Arabidopsis thaliana: one gene and its partner. The protein of the gene in region 2 interacts with the protein of the main gene of each other region in a biochemical or structural test. Each region holds a gene or a part of one and is shown on either strand. Other genes may lie near its edges. The genes, in order: PI4K GAMMA 4 and UFD1.

The links.
Region 1: of the proteins of UFD1 (region 2) and PI4K GAMMA 4, one has a biochemical effect on the other in vitro, tested with the Arabidopsis thaliana proteins (one study listed by BioGRID).

Annotation. Positions count from the first base shown.
Region 1 is NC_003071.7:19,085,807-19,090,935, forward strand, and holds PI4K GAMMA 4 (phosphoinositide 4-kinase gamma 4), read right to left. Parts: upstream 3,424-5,129; 5' UTR 3,047-3,423; exon of another isoform or gene 2,905-3,046; 5' UTR 2,729-2,904; coding exon 1,409-2,728; intron 1,316-1,408; coding exon 935-1,315; 3' UTR 686-934; downstream 1-685. Other genes in the region: SDH4 (succinate dehydrogenase subunit 4), read right to left, coding at 4,207-4,662. UniProt on the Arabidopsis thaliana protein: The phosphorylation of phosphatidylinositol (PI) to PI4P is the first committed step in the generation of phosphatidylinositol 4,5-bisphosphate (PIP2), a precursor of the second messenger inositol 1,4,5-trisphosphate (InsP3).
Region 2 is NC_003071.7:9,105,844-9,111,058, reverse strand, and holds UFD1 (ubiquitin fusion degradation 1), read right to left. Parts: upstream 3,494-5,215; 5' UTR 3,219-3,493; coding exon 3,203-3,218; exon of another isoform or gene 2,981-3,202; coding exon 2,931-2,980; intron 2,822-2,930; coding exon 2,744-2,821; intron 2,578-2,743; coding exon 2,553-2,577; intron 2,468-2,552; coding exon 2,435-2,467; intron 2,344-2,434; coding exon 2,222-2,343; intron 2,129-2,221; coding exon 1,998-2,128; intron 1,809-1,997; coding exon 1,588-1,808; intron 1,494-1,587; coding exon 1,246-1,493; intron 1,146-1,245; coding exon 1,047-1,145; 3' UTR 798-1,046; downstream 1-797. Other genes in the region: SULA (NAD(P)-binding Rossmann-fold superfamily protein), read left to right, coding at 9-69, 159-229, 316-557; AT2G21260 (NAD(P)-linked oxidoreductase superfamily protein), read left to right, coding at 3,751-3,883, 4,174-4,268, 4,353-4,470, 4,621-4,753, 4,836-5,055, 5,136-5,215.

The DNA of each region.
Region 1 (5,129 bases), about 10 Mb from region 2:
ATAAAAATAACAATATTCATTTTGTTGGTTAGATGAGGAATAATAGAATATTGTAGTCTGATGAATCTATGGAAAGGTCGTACTTGTTCTCTTTAGTCAAGATACATTTTTAAGAAATTGAATGGAGACATGTTATAATTCAAATCATGAGAACCCTAAGCACACACTTTCTTTAAGATAACAATATTTATTTTGTTGGTTAGACTAAGAACATTATAGTCGGAGGATCTATAGAAAGATTGTATTTGTTCTCTTTAGATGATGCTCGCTAACAAACAAACCTTGTTAATATTTAAACGAAAACCTTGGCCCCTGCGATGGTCTTGCGTTTTGAACGTGGTAAGCACAACTGAAAGGCTTGGTGAAGCTTTGGATTCTGTCATGGAAGCTGTACCGGGTCTTTGGAATCGCCTGCGATGCAAAGCATGGCTTATGTGTATCTTTTCGAATAGGAAGAGGATGATCGGACCTTGGTACCTTAAGGAATTCAAAGCGAAGCTCAATGACATGAAAGACTTGAGAAAACAGAGACATCAAAAAGAGCTACAGGAAGAGCAGATTCAATACGAAAGTAACGATTGTGAATTGCTTCTGCTCATCTTTGAGTTTCGTTCTCATCGATTTGCCTTTTGAAGTTCCTGTAAGATTTTGACAGTTTTGGAGTTTCACAGTAGATTTGACGTCATTCATTGCTTATTAACAGAGAGACATGTATATCGTAGAGAAGAGCTAAATCTTACAAAGAGAGAAAACTATTGTAAACACTTAAATTGTCATTACCATGAAATATGTCTGAGTGAAGTTAACAAAACACCTTGAACATGTCCAAAGAATGACAGAAATGAAAAAGTTTTAAAAATACAAAAGCCAACAGGTTTATAAAAAGCAAACCAAAGAGTATATACCAGAGTTTTGAATTAAACAAGAACCATTTTTAGTGTTCCTGAGAGTGATCGAGATGGTAATCCATCACATCGGATAGGGCTTCGAGGAATGCAGCTTCGCTCGTCCCTGGAAGCACAGCTTCTTGAGCTTCCTCTACCATTTCCTCCACCAGAGACTTCTTGCTAAGTGTTTCTCTGCACATTATGGTTCCAATCTCAAATGCTGTTAGTCCTCTTTCCACTCCTTTCTTCAGTAGCATCGTTGAGATTCTGAGCGTTTGAGCCGTCTCTGCCGGCATTTTCCATCCATGAAACTTTAGTAGATCAATATCTTCCTCTGCGTCCAGTGATCTTATGTACTCTTGGGTCTCTGCAGAGTACGGTTTCCGGGCTTGTGGCCAATATAGCCACTCAAACGTGCAATCTTCAAACTGATGACGAAAACAAAAGTTAGTTTCATGACAATGAACACTATAGGCAAAACTGAATCCAAGAAAGAATAGAAAAAGAGTAAGAGCACTTACGCTTTCAGGCAAGCAGTATCCATGGTCTATAGGAACCAAAACGAGCTTCCCGCTTTCGTCCTTGGTCATCAAAATGTTCCCACCATGTCTGTCTGCGTTGGCCAGTCTAATATCCAACACAGAAATCTTATGAACTTCTTCTACTGGAAATGAAAGTGGACCCATATCTTCACAGCTGCCATCGTTCTCAGTAAACATCTGAAGTGATCCAATCTTGGTTTTGATTCCTTTGGGATGGTTAAACCCTGGATGCAAACATTCAATCATAGCTGTGGGAGGTACACCAGCAAAACCTATCTCTTCACCAAACATAGATTTGTTTCCACTTTTGGGATGATCCAAAATGTATGCAGCGACTTCCCTTAATGCACCTTCTCCAACCTTTGTTCCTTTCTTCAAACCTTCACCGTTTGGCGAAAGTGGTAAACCCTGAGGATTGTTCTCAGCCATTGGTTCCTCATCTATTGGCTTAAACACACCCACAAATTTGTTGCCAGATGGACCCTGCATGAAATAAGCTCCTCCCGTACCTTCGCTTGACCTGACCGGAGAATTCCCACTTTTAAGTCCATCAGAAGCAGACTGAATCATATCTTTAACCACCAGAGGTACTTTAGCCTTGGAGTTAACAACTACCGGCTCCAAAGAAAGCTTTTTTGGTGGCACAATGCTCTTAGCTTCACGACCCTTCTTATCTTTTGCTTGTGGGGCAACAATAGACAACTCAAAGTTCTTCTCCACCGGCTTAACTCGAACTTTAGCAGATCTCCGCACAAGCAGATGCAAAACCGAGTCATCGTTTCTACAAATGTCATTAATAAGACTCTGGTCTTCCAACTTCTCACCTTCGTAAAGAATCTCCTGTTCATCAGGATCAACAAAGTCTCCACGCTTTTTCGAAATCTGCTTCTTCACATACCCAATGTTTCTCCCTCTCTCGACATGAAACCTGCAGTGTTTCCCACAGGTAGTCTTAACATCAAGAACCTGAAGATCAGAGAGCTTAAGAACCAAGTGGAGAATGTTGCCTTCACTAACACCATAATCACGCATATTAGAATTGCTTCTAGCTAGCTCTCGACCACCGAAAACAAGCTTCTGATTCCTCACAACAAAGCCGCGGTAAGACTGAATCCGAAGCTTAACAGACTCAATGGAATCAGACTCAAGCACTCGCATTGGTATCACCGATCCAGGAAGTGTAAGGTAAATCATGATGGTGTCGTCAGGATAAGAATCAAGACAAGAATTGGCACGAACCAGAGGCATAATCAATGGCTCGCTACGAACCGGACTTAACGCAACACCAGCTGATGACATCTTCTTTCACTTGGAGAAATCTAAGAACTTTCTTACGGAAAAAAACAGGATTCGATGTTCTTCACAACACAAAATCCCTCAGCTTCTATATATATATATACAACAAACCGCAATAATCCCTAAAATCCCAATACCATCGCTTCTTCTTCTTTTTCGAGAAACAACAATAACAAGCCCTAGGAAAAAACAGAGGAGATCAAACCTAAACAGATCAGGGATTGATTGATAGCTACAGGTGAATCAAATCGAGCCAATTGATGTCGCCGATGACGTACCATATGAAGAAAAAAGAAAGAGAGAAAGAGAGCGGATTCTTACCAGAAGGAAAGAACCAAAGAGGAAATTGGGACAAGGCGTGGAGCTTTAACGATGATGATCCAATCCAATAATAGAGTTTTTAGGGTTCAATCTAATGGCGTACAAAACAGCTCGCGAAACAAGGGTCAAAAGAGTTTAGAGGAAAGAGAGAGAGGTTTTTCAAAAGGAAAGTGGTAGGAAGGACACGTGTCTCCACCTCGTTCGCGTAGGTGACGCGTACAATGAAGCTTCTTCTTCTTCTTCTTTAATGTACACTTTTCCTTTGTTTATTGTCAACGGTGTACGGCAGTTTCGTTGATTTTGTTTTGTATTTTACCCTTGGAGTGGAAACCAAGCCAGAGACTTTGGGGTTTTAATCGTCATTATTTCACCGTTTTGGATTAGGATGCTTTTAAAACTTCGGATAAGGAGAGAGTTAGTATTTGAATCAATGAACCAGTACAATCGTAATTCGTATGGGCCTACAGATAAAAAGATGGGCCTTTTAATTCGCTTCTTTAACTCGTTTCATATCCCTTTGTTCTATTCAACCTTTCAGGCTTTCTGCTATGGAACATGAATATTGTTGGTCCAGTTGCATCTTAACCAGGTTCATGAACATCTAACTAAGATTCAATTTGATAGCTTTATATCTTCAAAATCTCATGTTTGATCTAAGTAAACATAACATCGACAATTCTCTGTTTGTGACTTCTTGAGAGTCTCCATCACCTTTATAATGATCACACCAAATCCAAAACCAGAAAATCTCTTCAAAAGTTGTATATAATCAAACCATCTACTTGGTAAAAACCACAACTTTTCTACTGCAAAACTCACGTAAGTCTCTCGTGCTTCTGATTACAGTAAAGCTAAATTCGAAATGCAAACGTAGTGATTAAATGATCCTCAAAGCTGAGAAAAGTTGTCATTATTCAATCAAAAGATTAACAGGCTTAGAATTCCATTTTAAGCCTTACAGAATCAAATACACGAAACCAGAAACTGAAACAACACACAACAAAAGCTTGAAGGTAAAAATGCAACATTGCATCAAGTTCTTATTCATAAAACAAAGAAGATAAAAGGAAAGACCTTTTTTTTAGCCCACACTATTCATTCATTAACAGGTGATGATGATCGAGAGTGTTCCTTAGATCCCAAAAGATGTTTACTTGGTTTCAGAGAAGAAACAAGATAATATCTTTAAGAACGATAATCTGGAACAATCCCAAAGACATCACAATCAAATTCCTTGTCATTTCTTGGTGAACATAATCCGCCAAAATCTCTTCCATTCCTTCATGTATGTGAAAGACTACAGGGATTTTGCGTAAGAAAGAGCCATTAGTGTAACCTCGAGAAGACGATTGACGCGAGAATTTGGCTGCCTTGTTGAGTTCAGATTGCCCAATTGAAGACGAAATCGAGCGATCGGTGACGAGATTGGTTGAATCTGGTTTCAGTTTCTGGGCTTGTGCGAAGGGGATTGAAGAGAGGTCTCTTCCCAGTGGGTTTCTCACGGCGGCGGTGGCGGATGCGGAGGAGATGTGACTCATCGAGAAAGGTAGAGACTTTGAGAGAGTGGCTCTCTGGGTTTGACGGTGGAGATCGAGGATAGTGCGGCGGAGAGACATCGTGGCCGAGGAGATAATCTGACGGAGAAGGATTGAAATTGGATCTGATCGGAGAAACAAACCCTATGTGAAATGAATCGGAAGCACAATTCTCGTCGTAGAGGTGAAGATGCATTAATGGAGTTGGGCTTTATACTGGGCTTTTCAGAACTACCAGAAGCCCAAACCAAAACCAAAATAGATTATTATGTGCTGCATTGCATAAAATAATGGACCAATGGAAAAAAAATAATTGATTCTCATTTTTAAGTAATTTTTAGCTCAGTCTCTTGAAATGTCAATATATCATATTCATGACCAATATATAAGATTTGGTCACTTCAAAATTCAAATGTACATGAACATTCTACAAGATAATTAATCAAATATTTACCTGAATAACATTGATTGGATAATATTAACTTGTTATAACTATTGCTTTATTTGAAAAAAAAAAAGAATGGATCCCAAATTGTAACTGAATAAAG
Region 2 (5,215 bases):
CATTGTAGCCATGATGATACCCTTTTTCCAAATGTTTGCTGGAGGACCTCTGGGTTCCGGACAACAATGGTAAACGTTGGATGCTTTTTCTGGTTATCTATTGAATGTCTCTCTACGAATTTGAAGATCATATCATATTTCCATAATTCATTGTGTAGGTTCTCTTGGATTCACGTGGATGACTTGGTGAACTTAATTTACGAGGCCCTCACTAATCCATCTTATAAAGGTAACAACATACATACTTGTCCTCTATGTTACCTTTTAAGAATAGGTCAAGGGAAGCATAATGCTATTGGTGCTGGTTGTTGGCAGGAGTTATTAATGGGACTGCGCCGAATCCGGTTAGGCTTGGGGAAATGTGCCAGCAGCTAGGCAGTGTTCTTAGCCGACCATCGTGGCTACCAGTTCCTGACTTTGCACTCAAAGCTTTGCTCGGAGAAGGTGCCACTGTAGTTCTGGAGGGACAGAAGGTATTACCTGTAAGAGCCAAAGAGCTTGGTTTTGAATTCAAGTATAAATACGTGAAGGATGCACTCAGAGCCATTATGCAATAAGGTGACACACATAAGCATCTTTGTAAAATTGGTTTTGATCACAGAAAATCCCCAGAAAAACAAGATATTCTTTTCTTTTCGTCTCTATATCTTTCTTTTTGAGTAAAACTCGAGAAATGTATTTATGGTAAAAAGTGTTTTCGGTGTTATCTCAGAAACCAGAGATCACAGATGTGTTGAGGATATTATAACTCAGACATAGCATCTTTCTCATCTATGTTCTTTGGTCATTGGTTCATTGGTAAAGAGCTACAGAGCATGGCTTGCTATTCATGAACACATTATGTTAGTGAGGTGCTCAGAATCTTATATCCTACAGTAAGAATATAAAAGAGCAGAGAATTGTAGAAAGTTGCATTGAATCTGATAAAGAAAACAAGCCGCGTCAAGAGGAGCCAGAGATTTATTCACTTATTTGTTTTCCTTGTATTTTTAGTACACAACATGAGAGGTCATAAATAGACTGAGTAGACCCATTGTGTGAGTTGATCAACCCCTCAATGAATACTTCTTCCCAGAGAAAGCTTGAAACTTGGGCTCGTCTTTCTTCTCTTGTTCCTCTTTCTTTGTCTCTTTTGCAGCTCCAACCTGAAAAAAAAAATTAAGAGATGAACAATCATATGCATTTGTCTCTCAATTCCATTACAGTTTTTGTTTTGTCAATTATCAATAAACTCTGAATGCGTACTTTCGGAGCAGCTTCTTTTGGAGCACGGTTTCCGTTAGCCCCAAATACAAGCTTTCCCTGAGCTCGTGTAGCTTTCTCTGAGCTACTTGCTACAGATGACTGTCCATTACCATTAGCGACAACAGGTTGTTTGCCTTTTGAGCTAGAGGCTGGCGCTGGCTCATAGGCAAGAGGTCTCCCATCTAACCGTCTTCCAGATCCGGTGAAAGGGTTGAACTTTGGTTCAGGTTCATCCACAACCTCCTCAGCTGTGAAATTTGGAAAGAAAAGAACACATGAGAATCTAACAACTTGAAGCTGATAGTAAGTCCATCTGATGATTTCATGTCCATGGATAGATACCTTTTGCCGGACCCTTAGCTGCAGAAGGTGCTGTGGGACGTTCAGGCTCCTTGTAATCGAGGGGAGGTGCGAAATCAACCTCACAGTCTGTTTCTATGATGCTGATTGCGTTAGCAGGCTTTGTTTCAACTATATCTATGAAGTACTTCTTATTGTTGTATGGAACCATAATGCTATCCCCACTAGTTAGGCATGAATAATTTCTCAAAGCAGTCTCCAAGCTGCAACGTTCACTCAATTATCAGTAAAGAATATTGGGAACAAGATAAAAAGAGTGACATCAAACAACTACGAGCCAGAAAACGGGAAGAACTTAGATATAATAATACATTCTCTAAGCAATAAACAACATGATGTGGGAAAGTATATGAGGGCTCAAATACAAGAGGGTAGAAATAAGTCGGACTCACATGGCTTTCGGGTTGGATATATCCAGGAAGTCTGTTGTGTGGGGCTGTAGTTTAACGTAAGTTCCCTTTGGAAGAGTGACATTTCTAACTCTCACAATGTCTCCTTCTTGCAGCAGCAGATTCTGCATCATCTGGATTATATCAAAGAAGCAAACAATCAGTCTGGTAAGTCCACATGATCCAGAGTACTTCGATTCACAAACAAAGAGGAAACTGATTCTTACCCAATATGGCATGTAAATCATGCCTTCTTCTGCAATGAACTCAAGGACTCCACAGTGTGTAACACGTTCAATTCCAGCATTACGAAGCTCAAACAGCATCGGATAGTCAATATGCAAAGAGGCTGTAAAGTCCCCAATATTAGCGATTTGATATGTTTCTAAGTTAAACAAATATTAGACCAAATCCAAAAGAGAAAACCAGTAGGAGCATACCTAGACGATCAAGGGCTGATGGTGGCATTATAACTGAAATAGAATTAACACAAATTAAAACCTCAGGCTTGAACAATACAGATGGAAACAAACATTGGTGTCTAGATAGAAGACTTACTCTTGTCACCACTTTCAAGTTGTGGCTGCAGGGAAGAGAAAAGGAAATAGAAATTAGATACTAGATCTCAGCTTTCTTATAGAACTTACTTAGTAGAACATGACAACGACTAAGATTCTAACATTACAAAAGAGCACTCTCAGATTCACTTATCAGGGAATTAAACTAAAAGTAGAGAGATGAAATCAAACCTTGTCGATAAAAGATGCCGGATAACACCGGTAACTCTGCTCAAAGGTTGTTCCATGATAATGGTATCCATCGAAAAACTGCATCGAGTTTAAATTCCAAAGGTTTAGACAAACAAACCAAGGGTGCGAGATATAAAAGCTAGAGTGAAGACTAACGGTTAAAAAGGAAAGCTTTGAATACACTTACCATAGTTATTGGTGGTAGTAGACTAACAGAGTAAGTTAACAAATGGCAACCTACAGAAAAAGAAACCTCACACAAGTCAATTACAAGAGATCCAAATCATAAAAGAGAAAAAGAGGGCACTCTTTAATTTAAGGGTTTCAATAATCAATTGTGGCCAACAATTCCGACCGGAAGGAACATCAAAGTTAGTGACTTTAACAGATAACTAAACAAGCTATTATCAAAAACCTAAGACCTCAATTTCGAATCTCAGCAGAAGAATAGAAACCTACAAAATCGAAGAACCATCTACAACTTGCAAAATCCCACCTTTTGAAACAAACCCAAGTAAGATCCTTGGAAACCTATTCCTAAACAATTCACCGGAAATCCCCAGAACAGAAGATTCCGATCAAAAGTTGAGAGTGGGATCGATACAAACAATACCAAAGCTAAAAACTTTACAAAATTAAAAGCTCGTCTTGAGATTATCAGAGAAGAATAAGAACTCAGAAACCACCGATTGAGCTGCCCGACCAATAAAATTACCTTTAGGAAGTAATTGATTCCAGACACAACCCAAGTAAAGATGCAAACTTTGAGGACCTGTGATAACGTTGCTTGTATATATATATACCCATACGGTGCGTATTGATTCATGTCTTTGTAAAACAGTTTGGGCTTCACAAAAAACGGTACTAGCCCATTGGGCCTCGAATAGTGAGGAATCATGACCACTTTATATTGACGTGTGCGTTACCAACTTACCATACTGGGAAACTCTCAATTCTGAGCAGATATCTACCCAATCACGGATTGAGGAGAGAAGCAAGAAGAAGAAATGGAGATTACACTGAACAGTGGCTTCAAAATGCCGATCATCGGCTTAGGAGTTTGGAGAATGGAGAAAGAAGAGCTTCGAGACCTTATCATCGATGCCATCAAGATCGGTTATCGTCATCTCGACTGTGCTGGTATAACTTAACACTGCTTAAAACCTTTTCTTTCTGATCTTTGTTGCTTCGGGTTTGTCAGGATATGTGAATAAAATATTAGGTTTTGTTTTAATTTGTTGAAAGTTGGAATCTTACTTGGAAATTATGTCTTAAGATTTGGGTTTTTAAGTATTTGGAAATTTGGAATCGTAGAATGATCTTAAGTCTTTGCTGTATCACAGACAATTGTTTTTGTTTCTTTGCATGTGAGTGAGTTGCTTTGTTCTGTATCCTGATTTATGAGTATCTTTTGGGGTTACTTGGTTCAGCTAATTATAAGAACGAAGCTGAAGTTGGTGAGGCTCTTACAGAAGCATTCACGACAGGTCTTGTCAAGAGGGAGGATCTCTTCATTACGACTAAGGTCCAAACGGCTTTAAGTTAAACTACTACATACCTTTGATATCAGTTCATTTCAGATCGAATGCTCTCTGTCTTGGTTTTGCAGCTATGGAGTTCAGACCATGGCCATGTTATTGAGGCATGCAAAGACAGTCTCAAGAAACTTCAACTTGATTACCTCGACCTTTTCCTCGTTCATATACCCATAGCTACAAAACACACGGGTTAGGCTTCAGCCTTGTTCATGAATATTATCAGTTTCGAGTAGAGACCATTGCATTTCAGCCTTGTTACTGGCTGGAAAATTAAGTTTTCTCAAGTCTCTAGCAATTGGCACACAGAGTAATAAGCTGTAACATGTAAGCCTTGTGCAGGAATAGGAACAACCGATAGTGCTTTGGGGGATGATGGGGTATTGGACATAGATACAACAATCTCTCTGGAAACTACATGGCACGACATGGAAAAGCTTGTTTCTATGGGTTTAGTCCGCAGCATTGGAATCAGGTTCAACTTCTCTCACTATCATTACAAGTTCTCTTGTTTAGTCGCCAATATATGAATTATTTGACCATTAGGTTTTTTGCAGTAACTATGATGTCTTTCTAACGAGAGATTGCTTGGCTTACTCCAAGATCAAACCTGCTGTGAATCAGATCGAGACACATCCTTACTTCCAACGCGATTCTCTAGTCAAATTCTGCCAGAAACATGGTATCTGTGTCACTGCTCATACTCCTCTGGGAGGTGCCACAGCCAATGCCGAATGGTTTGGCACCGTGTCATGTCTGGATGACCCAGTTCTCAAAGTAAGCCCCATCCTCTAAACCTTAAAAGTTTGGACTGAAACAGTTAAATAATTAAACCTTTTGTCTGTCTGAATTCATAGGATGTGGCCGAGAAGTACAAACAGACAGTGGCACAGATTGTCCTGAGGTGGGGAATTCAGAGGAACACGGTGGTGATACC